4 linked regions of the Arabidopsis thaliana genome follow. The protein of the gene in region 4 interacts with the protein of the main gene of each other region in a pairwise test. Each region holds a gene or a part of one and is shown on either strand. Other genes may lie near its edges. The genes, in order: NAC012, bZIP52, MYB112 and MBD11.

What was found.
Region 1: the proteins of MBD11 (region 4) and NAC012 interact in a two-hybrid assay, tested with the Arabidopsis thaliana proteins (one large-scale study listed by BioGRID).
Region 2: the proteins of MBD11 (region 4) and bZIP52 interact in a two-hybrid assay, tested with the Arabidopsis thaliana proteins (one large-scale study listed by BioGRID).
Region 3: the proteins of MBD11 (region 4) and MYB112 interact in a two-hybrid assay, tested with the Arabidopsis thaliana proteins (one large-scale study listed by BioGRID).

What each region holds. Positions count from the first base shown.
Region 1 is NC_003070.9:11,864,676-11,868,859, forward strand, and holds NAC012 (NAC domain containing protein 12), read right to left. Parts: upstream 2,480-4,184; 5' UTR 2,276-2,479; coding exon 2,089-2,275; intron 1,994-2,088; coding exon 1,728-1,993; intron 1,292-1,727; coding exon 668-1,291; 3' UTR 554-667; downstream 1-553. UniProt on the Arabidopsis thaliana protein: Transcriptional activator of genes involved in biosynthesis of secondary walls. Together with NST1, required for the secondary cell wall thickening and lignification of sclerenchymatous fibers and secondary xylem vessels (tracheary elements).
Region 2 is NC_003070.9:2,103,354-2,107,295, reverse strand, and holds bZIP52 (basic leucine-zipper 52), read right to left. Parts: upstream 2,249-3,942; 5' UTR 2,064-2,248; coding exon 1,603-2,063; intron 1,523-1,602; coding exon 1,390-1,522; coding exon of another isoform or gene 1,288-1,389; intron 1,279-1,287; coding exon 1,194-1,278; intron 1,113-1,193; coding exon 778-1,112; 3' UTR 547-777; downstream 1-546.
Region 3 is NC_003070.9:17,703,618-17,708,358, forward strand, and holds MYB112 (myb domain protein 112), read right to left. Parts: upstream 2,844-4,741; 5' UTR 2,761-2,843; coding exon 2,568-2,760; intron 1,730-2,567; coding exon 1,600-1,729; intron 1,061-1,599; coding exon 652-1,060; 3' UTR 515-651; downstream 1-514.
Region 4 is NC_003074.8:5,341,136-5,345,258, reverse strand, and holds MBD11 (methyl-CPG-binding domain 11), read right to left. Parts: upstream 2,548-4,123; 5' UTR 2,487-2,547; intron 2,463-2,486; exon of another isoform or gene 2,076-2,462; 5' UTR 2,051-2,075; coding exon 1,988-2,050; intron 1,575-1,987; coding exon 873-1,574; 3' UTR 559-872; downstream 1-558. Other genes in the region: AT3G15800 (Glycosyl hydrolase superfamily protein), read right to left, coding at 1-208; AT3G15780 (uncharacterized protein), read right to left, coding at 2,908-3,050, 3,615-3,825; AT3G15770 (uncharacterized protein), read right to left, coding at 4,043-4,096. UniProt on the Arabidopsis thaliana protein: Transcriptional regulator that binds DNA independently of its methylation status. Required during plant organogenesis and development.

The sequences.
Region 1 (4,184 bases), on a different chromosome or scaffold from region 4:
TAGTTTTAAGATAAAATATTAAATGATAATACAATTAAAAAATTTGAGATTTGAAATTTATAGAAAAAATAATATTACTATAAATTAACATATACATCATAGTTCTGTCATTAACTCATTATTAATTTAGAAAGTTTTTTATAAAATACGGATTCACCATGTGCGTTTGAACCAAAGTACAAATTTACCGAATATTAACTCTCACTATGGCCTATGGGCTTTATGATTCGCAAATACAAAAGATTTAAGCGATAAACATATATTCTCGTGGTTGTACAAATATGGCAATCTTCGTATCATAATTTGGATTCAAATTCAATAGTGGGCATGTAAGAAATGTAGAATGAAAGATGAGGGATGTGAAAAGTTCTACCATTTAGCTTTTTTTTTTTTTGGACATCTTTTAGCTTTAATAGTCAAAGATAAAGAACTAAATGTAATGACTTCTAAAATAGCTTAGTAAGCAATTGAAAGAGTCGTTATTCAAGTTTTGTATATAATATCATTCTTTAACTTCGTAAATTTTATGATTATAAATATTATAAAAAAATTACCCTCCACCATTAACAAATGTTAAACCCCAAAATCAAGACGTACTATCAATAGAACATGAGACATTTTTTAACAAACTTTATTTTATATTTTGTGTATGTGTATGTATAGATAATCATACAGATAAATGAAGAAGTGGGTCTAAAGACGAAGAAGACTCAGTGAAACTACTCCAAAGATCAACATTATCATCATTATTCCAATGAAGATCCCATCGCTGCATCATAGTATCACCATTTTCTTCTTCTTCATCAAAACTCTTACGATGACACGGATTATGATGACCATTGTTCAATTGCCAAGCTACGAGCCGGTCAAGACTAGCCCAGTTGCTGCAAACCGGTCTTTCGGTTATCTTCTCTTGAACGGGAGAGAAATCGAGTTTGCTTGGAGTCAGGAAACTTTGGTCGACCGGGCTCTCGGATTTAGGTGTCTCAAGACTTGGGAGTTGCATGAATAAGACATCATCTTGATGTTGAGTCGTTGTTTGGCTCTCGGGCATGCAAATGTTAGAACCGGTACGGTCCATGTAGAGAAGAACATGGTCTAAACCGGTAACGTTTTGAGTGTTGTGAAAGGTGGGCCCCTTCTCTTCCTCCGTGTCATCAGGTAAAGAAGATAGAGTGATTTTAGGACAATCGTCAATCTTTTGATAGTTCTTCTTCCTGAACACTCGACATACCACCCAACCTTCTTCGTTATAGCTCATTGGATCTTCTGTAACAACATCAGCATAGCCCTGATAATGGAACACAAATCGATCTTATGAAATGCAATAAGAGATGATTAAATCTTGATGATGTAAAAATGCAACTTTTATTTTGAAACAAAAAAAAAAATCTTTTATGTTGGTTTTTCTTTTGGATATGCAACCATAACTAGTTAACTACGTATTGTTTGTAGAGCCGTGTTAAACTATTTTAAGCCTTGTGAAAAAATCTTTTTATATAAATGTATATATGATGTGTTAATTTCATAAGAAATTATCTTATTGTAACTCAGAGAATCATGTTCGATTACTTTAATTGCAGATGCTAAAAGAAGGCTCTAGTGCGTACTAAATGAACCAAAACCTTTTATAGCATGAAACGAATCTAGCTAATTCTTTGACTATAAGTTTGTAATTTGTTTATTCTAACCTAAACTGCAAATTGATGATTGCTATATATACTTACATTAGACATTGGAGTATCGTCGAGGCGATACTCATGCATGATCCAGTCGGATTTCTGACCGTGAGGAGCTCTTCCTTTGTAGAACACGAGTGTCTTCCTCAGTCCAATTCTCCGGACACAACTGCAGATGATTTTGTCACGTCCGGTAGCTTTCCAGAATCCAGCGACTGTTGCCCGGTTCGTCCTGGTCCCGGTTGGATACTTCTTGTCCTTGTGGCTGAAGAAGTACCAGTCGTTTTGTGGCGTTGAACCGATTCTACATTCCTCTGCATTTGCATACCAAAATGGTTCAAAAATAAAGAACAAAGAAATAGAGAGTTCGTAGAAATGAAAGAGTTTTTTTTCATATTTAGGGTTTAACCTTGAATATCCCAAGGCTCAAGCTTGTTTAGATCAACTTCACGAATGACATCAAGATCGATCTTTTGAGAGTTAACTTTCTTACGGAGATAGTAATGGAGAAGTTCTTCTTCGGTGGGATGGAATCTGAAACCTGGAGGCACTTTTGATTGTCCATTAATCGAAAGATTGACCTTATTATCAGCCATTAACGAAGATAGCAATATATTTTTGGGTTTTTGCTCTAGAAGAGTAGAGAAGTTGTATGATTACGAGTGGAAATGGTTACAACTTAAAAAAAAGAAAGCAAACGATGAGATAATTTATAATGGTGGTAGGACTCGACGAGACATAGCCCCCAAAAGGGGGAAATTGTTATTTAAACAAAGAAGTTCATGCATTAAAGTGTCTTTATGAAATTAGTATAATTTAGTAAACAGATGTTTCTATGTTTAAATCGAGTTTGATCATACGTAAGTTCTGACGTAAGACATATTTCTTTTGACGTGTAATGTCATGTCATGTGTAATGTATAAAACGGAAAAATACTAACGTAAATAAACGGGTTTAGTGGGGGATTAATCTTTGTGTTTTCTTGCAATTACTTATTGCAGAATTTGAATTCCATGTGTTTTGGTCTTTACTAATGTATGTAAATATAAAGTATAGATTTGTTTAGAAGAAAATAAATGTAAATTATTTTCTAATATAGCTACGTATATTAAAATAATTTTCATTAATATATCACACACTCGTTTCATGATCTACGTCATCTACATTCTACCATGTTAATTAGTTATCTATTTTTTCCCATGTTTTTGGTATGTTCATTCCTTTCGATGTATCCTAAAAATACATCAATTTTTTTTTTCTTTTCATAATCTATCATTTTTATTCTAATATCTGGTGTCACCTAATCAAGATAATGTGTGTAACATTAACGAAAGAACTTTCCATGATTTTTTTTCTTCTTTTTGGACGATTTTCGATGTTTAATTGTACTATATTTTTTGGTGTATTTAAGTGACAAAAACGTGATGAAAGTCAAAGAAATTGAAACAAGCGGAGAAGAGCAGGGGACATGCTTTTTGCACAAGTGTGACACTTCATCTTCATTTCATCATTTAATTCACCTCTGCCTTTAGTGCATGTCCAATTAGTGCATGTATATTTCAATCTAGCTATTCATCTTAAATCGGAAATAGTTATTCAGACCATCTTACATAGTAAGTTTGAGTATTCGATGGTTATGCGAATACCAAAAAAAAACTAAAATGAAGGGTAAGGCTATATAGCCATTAATATTTAACCGTAGATATTGAAATAGCTAAAAAGAATAGAGAGTATGAATGTGGGAGTGACAGACTGACATGTTGGAATATCCACTTCCAGCTAAAAAGGTGATAGTTGGATTATGTACACAAATAACTGAATTAATTAGCAATATTTGTTTATGAAAATATATGTATATATTCAACCATTTAACATACATATATGTGTATATATTTTAGTTATGGACTTAATTATTGGAATTAAGCATACTGATATAATATGATTTACAAATAGAGGCTGGAGCAATGACACTTTAATCGTTTTCTTATTATATAATATAAGTATATAACATGTACATAAAAGTTGTTACCCTACATGCACTGTACTTATCATTTGTCTGTTGATGGGATCTTTGTGTTTCAACATTAATAATGATGTTTTGTTTCTCTAAATTCTATGCTTAATCATGCTTTTGGGTACACAATTGATGGATTAACTAATACCACATAATGATTAACCACATTTGACCTCTCATTCTTTCACTTTTTCCATTTCTTTATTCTAGTTTTAATTGAGTTGAGTGTGAAGTTTCACCTCGTAATTTGTTCCCATACTAATATTTTGATATATCATTTCGTCATTCCCTTTTGTTAAATCATGTGTGTCCCATGCTCACATGTATGTTATTAACTGAAAACTAATTTCGAACAAAAATATCACAAAAATTAATTCACATTTGTCATTAAATCGAAATAAGGAGAAATAAATTAAATATTCAAGAGAATGTTAAGGCTTTTACACTAAAGTTGATATATATTGAAACAAGAATATTTAATTTATCTAACA
Region 2 (3,942 bases), on a different chromosome or scaffold from region 4:
AAGTTATTTTGCGAAATAGACCGAGCTTCTCCAAGGACGTCCACAGTCCAGAGAGTAGATGTTTCGTCTGATAACATGGTAACAATGTTCTAAACTCTCCACGTTCTTATTGTTATGCATGTTCTATTGTTCTTGCTAGCTCAGTTTGGAAAGGTTGGAACTTTTGTTGGTTCTCTCCAACAATGGGTCTTTGCTTAAAGGTTGAATCGTGTTAGATGTCTTTCAAAGGTCGAATATTTTCGTTAACAGTCTTACAGAGTCTCAAAAACTAATCTCTCAATGCTTCGTCTCTCATTTCAACTCCGACTCCAAGTTTGGGAAATTTTGTCTCATGGAGAAGTCCGGTTGGGAGAAGTTGTCTCAAAACTCTAATGGGATGACGGATGTGAGGGTGTCTTGGAGAAGAAGCTACTGAGGAACTGCCTTGGTGTTGTCGTATCAAAATCATTGATCCCAAAATCAAACTATTAACCCAATTGGAATGAACTTATTAAACATCTCCATCTCCTAGTAAAATAAAACAAAACGTAGCAAACATCATTGTATACAAAAGAAAAATGAAATTTATTAGTCTCCTTTGTTCCTTGAAGAACAAACAATGGGAATAGCAAACAACGAAACTCACGACACATAACCAACACAAATGTATACGTACGTCCTTTCTTGCACAATGGCACCTCAAAAAAAAGAAAGAATAAATAATCAAAAGTGAATCAAATGAATTGAAAAAAAAAAAAACCTATTAACAGAAAAATGAGCCTCATCATAATCTTGTCGTCAATAGGCAGAGCTACTCTCACTAGCAGAGAGAGAAGGTCCTTCAGATTTGACTAAGCTTGAGCTATTGCTACTAATCTCCAGCCCTTGCATTCGGCCGTTCTGTAGAAAGTCCGACACGCTTTGAGAATTGGACATCTCCATAGGATTGAAACTAGAATGCATCTGCATATCATGGAGGTTCATTGAGCCATGATATGGTGGAATAGCCATGAAAGTTGAGGAAGAATACTGAATCTGCTGCATTCCCATATCAAACGAATCTGAATTACCAGAGATTTCTCCTGTCTCCATCTTCATCCTTTCAACTTCTTTCCTCAACGCTTCGTTTAAAGCTGTAACATCAAAAAGCAAATATTGAAGAAATGCACCAAAATGCATACAAAGAAATTAGCTTCTTTTTTTTTTGTGCTTACCATTACGAAGCTGAGCTTGTTGTTCCATTGCTTGCAACCTAAGTTTCAGCTCTGTGTTTTCGTTTGCTAGTCCATTTGTGTCTCTCTGGATCAATCAAAACAACATTGAAATCAAGATCTGTCTATGTATGTAAAACAGAGGAAAGAACTTTCCTATTCTGTTGGGATCAAACGAGGAATCGCCGAATATGGAAACCTGGTAGAGAGTAAGCTGAGCAGAGAGAGTGGTAGCTTCGGTTTGAAGAGATTGAACTTTGCGCTCAAGTTCTTGAATGTATCGAGCTTTTCTCTCTTTGGATCGAGCTGCAGATTGTCGATTCGCTAGAATCCTGTAATCAAATCCCTAATTTCATTGCAATTCTTCAATTCTGTGGAAAGAGAAACAAATTTGAAGAAGAAGAAGAAGGACCTTTTGGCGCGTTTGGGATCGATGTTCCAAAGCTCAGAGAGTTTTTCAGGAGGCATAGCTTTCTTAGCGTCCATGATATCACCGGCATACATGGCGCATCCAGCGTCAACGGAATTGCTGTGACGGTGGCGAGGACGAGAGGAAGGAGGAGGAGGAGGATTAGCAGCGCCGGAAACGGAGTTGGAGGAGAGGGAAGGATTTTGAAAGGGATTGGGATTAGAGGTGAGGCTATCGACATCGATGAAAGAAGAGAAGAGATCGTCGTCGGAGGGAAGGTCGTCGGAGGAAGGTGGTGCGGCGGAGGAGAGGGGATCCATGAACATGAACATGGACATATCGTCGGAGCGAGATCGGCGGTGGAAGGAAGAAGATGGAATCGGATCGGCATTAGGAATTGGATCGGAGGAGGGGATAATAGTGGCGCCGGGCTTTGGGACTGGTGGAGGATCTGATTTCTCCATTTTTTTAAGAGAATCTGAGAGATGAATGCTTTGGTTGTGTGAATAATTATGATTATTATTCGCAATTGAGAACAATGTCAATGGAGATAATGATGGAGATGAAGAAGACGAAGCTCTTTCTCTCTCTCTCTCTCTCTCTCTCTCTCTATCAAATGAAATGAAATGAAGAGCGTAGGAGAGAAACTCGACTCTGTGAGGAGAGAGAAGTGACGTCACTAACTATAAAATTGCGAAATTGAGTTGATTTATTAATAATTAAAAAGAAAACTAGTTGATGAAAAGTAAAAGGCACATTGGCACGTGAACCATCGCAGCATCTTGTCTCCCTCCCTTTTTTTTTTATTTTTTTTTCCTTTTTCTTTGTATTTTATTTAATTATTCGATTTCATGATTTAAATTTGTTTAACTTTAAATCTTCTTTGTAGCATTCATTACAAGATTCTGTAGTTGCTTCAACGAAATTTATTAATTTAAGCTGTTATGGCATTACATCTCCCCACGTCTGAGTGTATATTTTTGTATCTTTGAGTCAAAATTTTAACAAGTAAAAAATAGGCAGAAAGCCTTGTATGAACTGAGAGTCTGAGAGAATGTTTTGTGGGATAATAAGTTGGTAACTTGGTATGGAACTATCTATGGATTGGGAAACAAGTAAAATTCACTTATAGTGAAAAATACTTATTGGTTGGATCTAAATCATACGGAGGCCTTAATTATCAGGCCCATACAAGAAGACAAGTATTGTTTTGTTTTAAGAAATCCTCGAGCATATAATGCGCCTGTAGTGGACAGGAGGATGTTTTGGGCCTTCTCTTAAATTGGCAATTGGGCATCACTTTGTTTACCGGTCAAAATAATTAAAAAGATGGTCGTATTGATCGCTTTAAGTAATAAGTTTTTTAGTTAAGTCTCTCTAAATTGTCTTAAACGCAAGTAGTGGACCGGCATCATTTAATAGTGATTCAAATTAAAAACCTAATGATGCTTACTTTTACCAGCTAAAGTTTCTTTTGTCTTTTTTTTTTTTGTTTTATTATTATTTATCAACATACTTGTGAATTGTGATTCTCCCTTTTTTTATATATAAATAATGAACATACTTAAGATATAGTTTCTCCCATTTATTGTCACCTAACGGGTATTTTTTAAAACCAAATTCTGTTGGAAAGTTCTTCTCTAAACATAAATAATATATAGCTCATGTCTATGCTTTTTAATAGTGCCCATTGTATTTCTTTTCTTATTTGAGTAATTTATTCCAGCTGTTTCTTTTTTTTCCCTCTCGTAATGATACGACATAGTGACATACATCTTCTGTTTCTTCTTTTTTTGTTCAAGAAAATCATAATGACTACAGGTAATTAATCACACTTCTACAAATCAGTTGATAATCAGCACCATTTTCCAATAAAAGTCGATACTTTGGAAAATTTCGTGACTTTTAGTATCGTGGGGGCCAAAATGCACATAAAGATACGATATCGATGACCAAATTGCCATATACTATATGATTCCAATATACCAATGATTGCTACTATTTGCTAATGGTATACGTTTTTAAATTTTAATTAATACATAAAAAAAAAATCAAGGTGGGATAAAAAGGTAACTTTATTGACAATATTTGGAAATTCATCGCACCTGGCAAGAGATTTACCTACTGTCATTAAAAAAGGATTAAAAAAACGACAAAAAGGTCAAAGACAGGTCAGACAAGGAATCATTAAACAAAGGAAGAAAAATAGCAAGTAGAATGGTTTTGACGGAAGAAGGTGGTGAAGTTATGGCGGCGGCGCAACGGAAACTTATGATGACGCTCTTCCGTCGGTCTCATCCATTACCTGAAATAGTCAAACTTAGAAAATGTCGTATTATCACT
Region 3 (4,741 bases), on a different chromosome or scaffold from region 4:
AAAATGATATTTGAGACGACGAAATTTTACTTGCATATTTTTAAGAGTTGATACCATCTTTAAGTGCTCTAAGCAATATGTCTCATTGTCTCGAGCATGCAAGATTTCATGAACACTTCAACTCTGAGTTTAGATGAGAGGGCCAAATCCAAATTAATAATTTATTTAGAGTAAAATAATTATTTGATGTTCACTTCATATACACATCATGCATCAATCTCTATTTCAACCCATTAGTTAAATAAGTATGTAATGAATTTCTTTGGGATATGTTATCAAATACTCATAATGTTTTTAATAATGCGGTGATATTATAAAACTTAATTGATGATCATATATGGTAGATTATAAGTGATCGTATGGGAGTTATTAAATGAACCAGGAACCACATAAACTTTTTGCTAAACTCATGTTGTTGTTTTTCTCTTCTTTGCTCTTATAGTCTTATCTAAATCATGCTTCTGTGTAACAATATATATGTTTTTGATATTATTAATTAAGCAGTTTTTTTTTTGTTTTGTAAAATCATACATCACAATAAAATTAAACCAATAAAAAAATGGAAAAAAACCCGGAAAACCTTTAATTTTGTTTTGAATGATTAGTTTATGTTTATTATACATTACATTCATTAATAAACCCATGAAATGCCTACTGTATGAGCCACTTGTTGAGCTCGTCAAAACTACACAAAGTTTCAAACGTATCTCCGCCGTTGAACCAATAACCACCATTTGTCATATGATCCAACGTTCCAAATTCCACCTGATCACCACCGTAGAAACTCGATCTCACAGCCTCAGACGACGACGTTGATGACGTGGCGGTGGCGACGCTGGAGTTCTCAGGCGAGTAGTGGTTAGAGGTAAATTGGACACTTTGAGTGGCGGCGATTCTCTCGATGAGACGAGGCATCCAGAGATGTTTGATGGTGTCTTTGAATTGCTTGCTGTTCACGTCACATTTTAGAAGTTTTGCATGCTTTTGAACACGTGTTCTCCAATAATTCTTTATCTCGTTATCTGTTCTTCCCGGTAAATGTTGAGCAATCTTTGACCACCTTCACAATAGAAAAAATATCAAAACTAACTCCATTATTAAAAACACGATTAATTTTATAGAACATCGTAATTAAACTCTCATTCCGTTTTTTATTAGAATCATTTATACATACAAAAAATATATTAAATTTCTAATATACTTTTTGTACGTATATTAATTGTTTTTGTTAAAACCGACTCTTGCTAAAAATATTATTTATAATGAATCGGAGGGTTTAATTATTTATAAGTTCTATTGTAGTACTAGATTAATCAGTTTTTTTAGTGTTACTCTGATAAAAAAAGACGTTGATGTGTACCTTAATTTCAACTATGATACAAGTTTCATATAGTAACCACAATTCAACCAAGAAATTTCAAATACGCATCAAATTGATTTTGTCAATTATCTACTAATACAATATTGAATAACGAGTTATTTATTTCATAGAGACGTTCCAAATTTGCTCTCTTCAACGATATGTGTCCCTTTTTCTATTTTAAGTAATGTATCGACAATATGACTATGTCTATGTCGATATAAATAAAGGTTTCATACCGATTTCCCCAACGAGAATGGAGTTCAAGGATGATAAATTGTTCTTGAAGGGATATGTCTCCACGGCGGATATCCGGCCGGAGATAATTTAGCCACCGCAATCTGCAACTTTTCCCCGTTCTATTCAGTCCTGTCTCAATAGTAAATGATTTCAATATAAATACAATTAGTATAAAAACATGAATTAACTGGAATGTACACTAGTCAATAGTATATGGACACTAGTACAATTTCCCAAATCAATAAAGATAACAATTCCATGAGGCTGTATGGAATTGGATGGTTGGGAAAGGTGTTTGAGTTCCACACTCAAAAGGCTAATATGAAAAGAACTCCAAAGGAAAAAATAAATAAATTTGGACCGACCAAACTGTTTCATACGAAAGTACACTTTTAATGATAATAATGAACTATGAATATGTCAACTTGTTCTTTCTTACTTTACCAATTCTACAGAGGAATTTAAATTATGCCGACATGGAGAAGTCACAGCCATAAGAAAAGTATTCTCATAGTTACGAAAAATCACATTCATATATGTATATCACTCACATATGATGTGATAGAAATTGAATAACATATTGATAAGATGTGGACGAGTTTTTATATCTACTCCATTTAATTTCAGTTAGTTATAAATAAACTCTAAACTAAACTTCACATGATCATATTAAAATCCACAAAATCCAAAACGAATTTCTAATAAGAAAAAAAAAAGTTTCAGTCTAAATGTTTAAAAAACAAAAACGGACTACTTGTTTGACATATAAAGAATCCTTCAATACCAAACTTTAACCATTCAAATCAATGATAGTTTAACAATCACTCTAGAGATATGATATGGGCATATAAGGATTTGTTATGATGACTTCAATTGATCTGAATCGATCGATTTACGCATTACATATTATATATCATGCATGATCACATATTCTGTATATATATATGCAAAAGGCTTAAGAAGTTACCAGCAGAACGAGAGAGGGAGTTCCATCTTCCTTCACCGTGAAGAGAAATGTAACTGACGAGCTTCATGTCTTCTTCCACAGTCCATGGACCTCTCCTTATTTCTATTTCCATCTTTTTCTCGACTTCTTCGACTTCTTCTTTATGATTTATAAGGGTTTTACAGTTTGCGAATTCTGTTCTACTTATATTCATGCTTTGAGATTCTTAGAAACTTGTGAGAAGATTGCTCTGAGAAAGATTTTAATTAATGAGGGAGAGAGTTCTCGGAATGGACATAAAGTGATCGAGTTTTCAGGGTGGGTTTTATAGATTTTTTTTTGTTTTGTTTTGTATATATTATAAATAAATACCAAGCATTTGAAATCGGCATGTTAATAGATAAATTATTACCCGAAGATATTAGTGGAATTTTCGCAAAATAATAATTTCTAAGTAATAGTATAAGAGTTCTTAGTTTCTCCTTAAGCACATGCTATAGTTAAGAGTTGGATAAGCTATCAAGTAAGTAAAAGTAACCGAAGAAGTAATTTAAATTAACATCATTTATTTATCGATATAATTTAGTTGATGCAACAAACCCTTTTTTCTGTAGTATATAATTTTGTTTAGTTTTGATTCAGGTTTCCTTTTATTAAACCAAACTAGAATTTAACCCTCAATATAACACGGGACAATTTTGTTTTCACATAATCTTAACTAAATTAGTGTAATTCTACATATTTAATATTAGTGATGTTAATCAAATAATAAAATGAGAATTTCACCGTATTATAATGTCGGTTAATGATACTTTTAATTTTTTTAATGTCGATTTAAACTCATTTTTCATATACCCAGTCTCAAAATATAACATGTACTGCGTTATTTTAGACTTTTATATATATTCATTTTATTTTAAACTTTATACTGAGTTTAAATATATCAATTATAATATTTCAAAACTTTCAAAGCTTAAAATTTACTATATCCAGTAAAATTAAACAGTTCAATTAAAAACAGAATTAAACCATATACAAACTTTTAAATTTAGATACTTGTTAAGTTAAACTTCTTGTTTATTTAGATTTAGATTTATTTATAACATGACTCTTAATCATTTTCTAAACATTTTAGCCCATGTGAAATTGAGACGTTGAACACACTTTTTTATTATTTAAGTAATATATATGTCTAATTCTAAAATTTTGAATCAGAATATAGGTAGAAAATAGTTTATTATTAACTTTATATGATGATTCAAAACAAATAGAAAACAAAATCAAACAAAGATGATTGCGAATCATTATTTTAATTCTTAACACAATCTTTTAATATGTATTACTAATTTTGGAACATTATATGTATATTTCAAATTTTATAGTTAATGTTAAAAACAATCAATTGATTTGGTTATACGGATAATAAAAATTAATAGTAAAGTTATTTGAATACATGAATATAAGTAATGACATTCTCTGTTAATATTTATCAAAATAAAGGTGTTTTTTAAAGTATACTTCAAAAATAATACTCCCCCTATTCTTTATTAATTGATTTTTAGAGAAACAAAATTGTTTCAAAAAGATTGATTTTTTAGGTTTCTATGCACTATTTATTAGTTATTATTGATGAATTTTAAACTTCAAGACAAATAATTGAATATCATTAGTTTAGAATTATTAAAAAATTAAATCACAAAAATTAAATCAATATGTTTACTTAATCTGTGATTGTTTCTAGAAAATCAATAAAAAGGGACAAAAGGAGTAATTTTTAGTCATGATTTCAATTTGATGCAATTTTGGTTTAATTTATTTTGACTTACGGTTTAGATTCGGTTTGGTTTTGATAAAAAAAGTTAGAACATATATAAATACAGATTGATGAAAGAAACTAGTTAAATTTTTTGAAGTTACTAACTTTTTTGGGTTTTCTTTAGTTTCGGAACTCTTGGTTACTTTTTTTTAATGGTTTTAGCTATAAATTTTAGTTTTTTTAATTAGAAATAGAAAAGGATTACAAAACAAAAAAAAGACTCAAGAGAATGTAACAATATAAAAATGCTTTGATAGCATGAAAGCAAGATGCAGCGAACCTCAAAACTCTAAATCGAGTAAAGCTTAACCTAACCCATGTCTCTAACCATAAACTCATTAAAGCCGAATCAGAGTTCTACAAAATGTAAAATCTCGAT
Region 4 (4,123 bases):
TAATCTTTGCTGATTTAAGGAGAGTTGCTACCGCGTCAGGAGACGGAAGATTATCCGCTATGCGACCGTAGTTTACACCATATGTTCCGATGAATGCTACGGCCGTTTGTGAAGAGAGTATAGAGAAGACTAAGAGAAACGAAAGGAAGAAAGAAGAGAAAACCATATGTGAAGTTGGAGACTTTCGAAGAGGAACACAATAACCCATTTGAGATACTGTCTCGAATGATGTTTTTGAAAACAGAGCAAGTTTTTTTTTTAATCCTAAAATGGGAACAATAAGAGTTTATACTATGAAGTTGTTCCTTAATAGAAAGATTCTAAACCCTCGTCCCTGGGACCATGCAAAAGGATGGAATCAAGGAAATAAGAAAACTAACATTGTAAGTCTTTCTTTGCATTAGATTCTTACTTTACTCTCAAAGCAAAACTTTTACCTTTTTCCTCTTGTCTTCTTCTGCTTTCTTCCATTTTTTTATTTGGGTTTCCCATTTTATGGCGTTCAAATGAAGATTGAACCAATGATAAAAAGAAATCTAGAAGATTAATCTATGTGTGGATCTTTAATCTGACTTGTTCATAACTTGATTGTCCATCCATACGAAAATGACTAAAGATTGTAGCAGAAAGATAAAACATCAAACCTAGTGATTGCAATGGTTTTAGAGAAGAGTCAATAATATATCCTCTACATAACCTTACAACCAAACAGAACTTGCACATATCTCATAATACATATCTCAGCCTAACAACACCTTTCACCGCGATAATGCTCCGAGTAGGAAGCAAAAAGGAAACCATATACTTCAATAGATTGATAGAAACAACTGACTTACAGTTTCATGAGCTAACAGAAGCAGAGCAGAACAGGGCTATCCGGTAGCTTCTCCTTCTGCTGTTTTCTCTTTCCCCTCAGCTTCTGTGGTCAGACCATTTTCTTCATGGTTTCTGGTCTCAGCTTCAGAATTCTTCTTCTCATCACTAGCTTCAACGGTCTTCTTCTCTACATCTACCGAGTTCTTTTCGATTGAGCCAGTATCTTTTTCTTTGTCAGTCTCCTTACTCTTATCATCAACAGAATCCAGAGCTTTCTCCTTCATCGACTCACCCTCTTCTTGAACTGGAGCCGCATTTGGAGTTTCCTCAGCAACAATGTTTTCTTTTGCATCATTCACCCTCTCAGTTTCACCGGAGCCATTCTTATCGGTCACATTTTCATTCTCGGCGATTCCCTCTGGAGGATTCATTTCAGTATCTTTCACATGAGAGTTTTCCTCTCCTCCTCCCTCTGATTTCTCACCTTCTGCATCTTTCTTTGACACTGGAGATTTGGTTCTACCTCGCTTCTTGGGTGGCTCTTTATCTGGTGACGGCGTAGCCTTAGTCTTCTCACTGATTCTTGCAGATCTCCTAGGTGTCCCACTAGTCGTCCAATCAAACTCTGCGATCGCGGGGTTTCCAGGGTGCGATTTGAGATACTGCTCCAGCTGCTTTCTGTTACTAATCTCCTCACCCGTTGGAGCCACAAACACAACCTCTGTTTTCTTCACTGAACCCACTTTGTTGGGGTAAAACTGCAAAAACAAGTCAGTTAATGTAAACCTCTGAAAATATGAAAATTTGAGGTTCAAAACGCTGAAAGATTAAATTCTAAAGAAGACCTTAATGTAGCTTAAACAATGTTTACAAGTGGCTTAAAATCCATAAGAATCGGGAAAAGTAAGAAGTAAATCAAACATAGTCAAAATGAGGCATTAAGTCAAGAACAAAGAAGTAGAAATAGTAGATCAAACACAATCAAATGTGGCTTTTTCTAAGTCTATAACCTTTGAATCACCTAATCAACATAAAGTTATTTACACTTATACTAACATTTCGCCACCAAAAGCTACCATATTCAGAGTCTTCAAAGAAAAAGATTTGGTAATTGCAGCACTACACATATACAACAAATTCTAAGTCTTTGTATGAAACAAAGAAAACAAACCAATTTCTTCCATGAAGAAGGTGCTGGTAGCTCAACAGAAACAACTTCCTCTTCACCACCCATCTCTCTCCTTTCCCTTTAGCAACCCCTGAAAACAAATTAGAAAGATCAACCACAAAATGCCAAGAAAACAAAAACAAAAAATTTAACAATTTACACGAATGAAGCAACAGACAACCTAGGGTTTGATTGTCGGAAAGCAAAACAGAGTTTAAAATTTTAGGGATTTTGCTCTGCTCTTCTTTTTCTCTTTTGCTTAACACTATGGTTTTAGACCTTTTTTTACTACCAGAAACACACAGAGTATATGATAAAGTCACTTGGAGGTAGCACAACAACTTAACTAACAACCCAATTAAGTTTAACCACGTGTCTATATCCAGTGATATAAAATGCGCTCTATCATCTATATTCTATGGTAACAACGACACGTTAAAGCCTTGATCAAAAGGTGTTAAGTCGACTCGGATGTTCGCATTTAATGCAGATTTAGACTTACTTGGTGCTCATGCAATACACGTGCCAAATAGTTAACGACTTTTCTCCATTTTGGGGGAAAAAAACTCTAATGGAGTATTGCTTTGGAGTCCGGTAAAACAGAACGTTACTGTGGTTTAAACTCTTTAAAGCCCATAAATTAGGCCCATTCATGTCTTGAGTCCTATTGCTCAACGACGCCGTTTTTTAAGCATGATCAGATGGAGACTGGGAAAGAATCAGGAATTGAGTACTATATATCACTAGCATTAACCAAGAAGATAACACGATCTTATTGTTTCCTATTATCATCTGAATAAGTGATGTACAAGGAAGATGCTTACTTGGTGAAGTTTATACAGGTAATTTGATCTCTTTGAAGTCTTGATATATATACAGTATAGAGTAGTAGATAATCACCAAAGCCTCTTCATATATGGAAACTACTTGAAACGTGAACCCTTCTTGCCTTTGCCTTTACCCGTCCCATCTGTGACTGTAACCCAGAAGAAGAGAAACATCCAAAAGAACACTGCGAGGAAAATCTTTACGCGGTCTTGAACCCTTGTCACAGCTCCCACAAGACCTTTACAAAGAGAAAAAGAAAACAAGAGTATTCATTTCACTTAGTATCAGTCATGAGTGCAGTTTTTTCTATTTCCAGCCTATCCTTCTATGTTATAAAGGAATCATCACCCAAGCTATTCAACATAACATATGGACTAATTGCAGAACCAATGAACATACAACTACTGCACAATTTTACATCTTAAGAGAAAATTTAGAAAATCCCCACATAAAATGGTAGCCATTTTGAATCATAAGGAGTAAATTCCACAATCCTAATTGCCTAAGCCAAAATCATGTCACAAGATTTGAACTTTGGTTCCATGGACACAACAACTAATTGGATGAAATCATCCTCATGTTTTGGAAGTTTCATGATACAATAACAATCTCAGCACGATTCAATACCAAGTACTAACCTAAAAGACTCCATACTTATATCAAACTATCGGATAAAAATTGAAACTTTCGACCCAAAACACAACAGTTAAAGTGAAAACTGAAAAGCAAGTACAACAAAGACCAACCAAACAAAGTAGGATTCAAAGGACCAAAATATCAATCTGGGCAAGAAGAATCGAACCTTCTAGCTGAGTGGTGTCCTCAGGCGGAGGCGGATCAGGGCCTGGAGGAGAAGGAGGACCACCAGCGACGGCGAGGCGGCGTAAACGGCGGGGACTCGCTAGTAGGACGGTGTTTCGACGGTGAAGGTGATACGGCGGTGAGAACGGCGAGAGAATTGAGTAGTGGTAGAGGTTAGTGCTTGTGGTCGGGTTGGACAAAGCCATCGCCATTTTTCCTCGACGATAAAATTAAGAACTCATTTTTATTTAAGGGGTTTCTGATTCAGACATACACGTGTACGACAATTTAAAAAAAAAACATTTTTGTGGAAATTACTCCAAATCAAGAGAATTTTATAAAATTTGATCCATCAACAAATATTTTTTGTTGGGTGTATATATTTTTCTCAGCTCTCTTTACAATTGTAAATGTGTAAAAAAGAATCTTTTAGCCGTATAGACCTTCTTCTTCCCAAACTTCAACAAGAAACTGCACCATTTCCTGCAATGATAAAACTTTCAATAACAA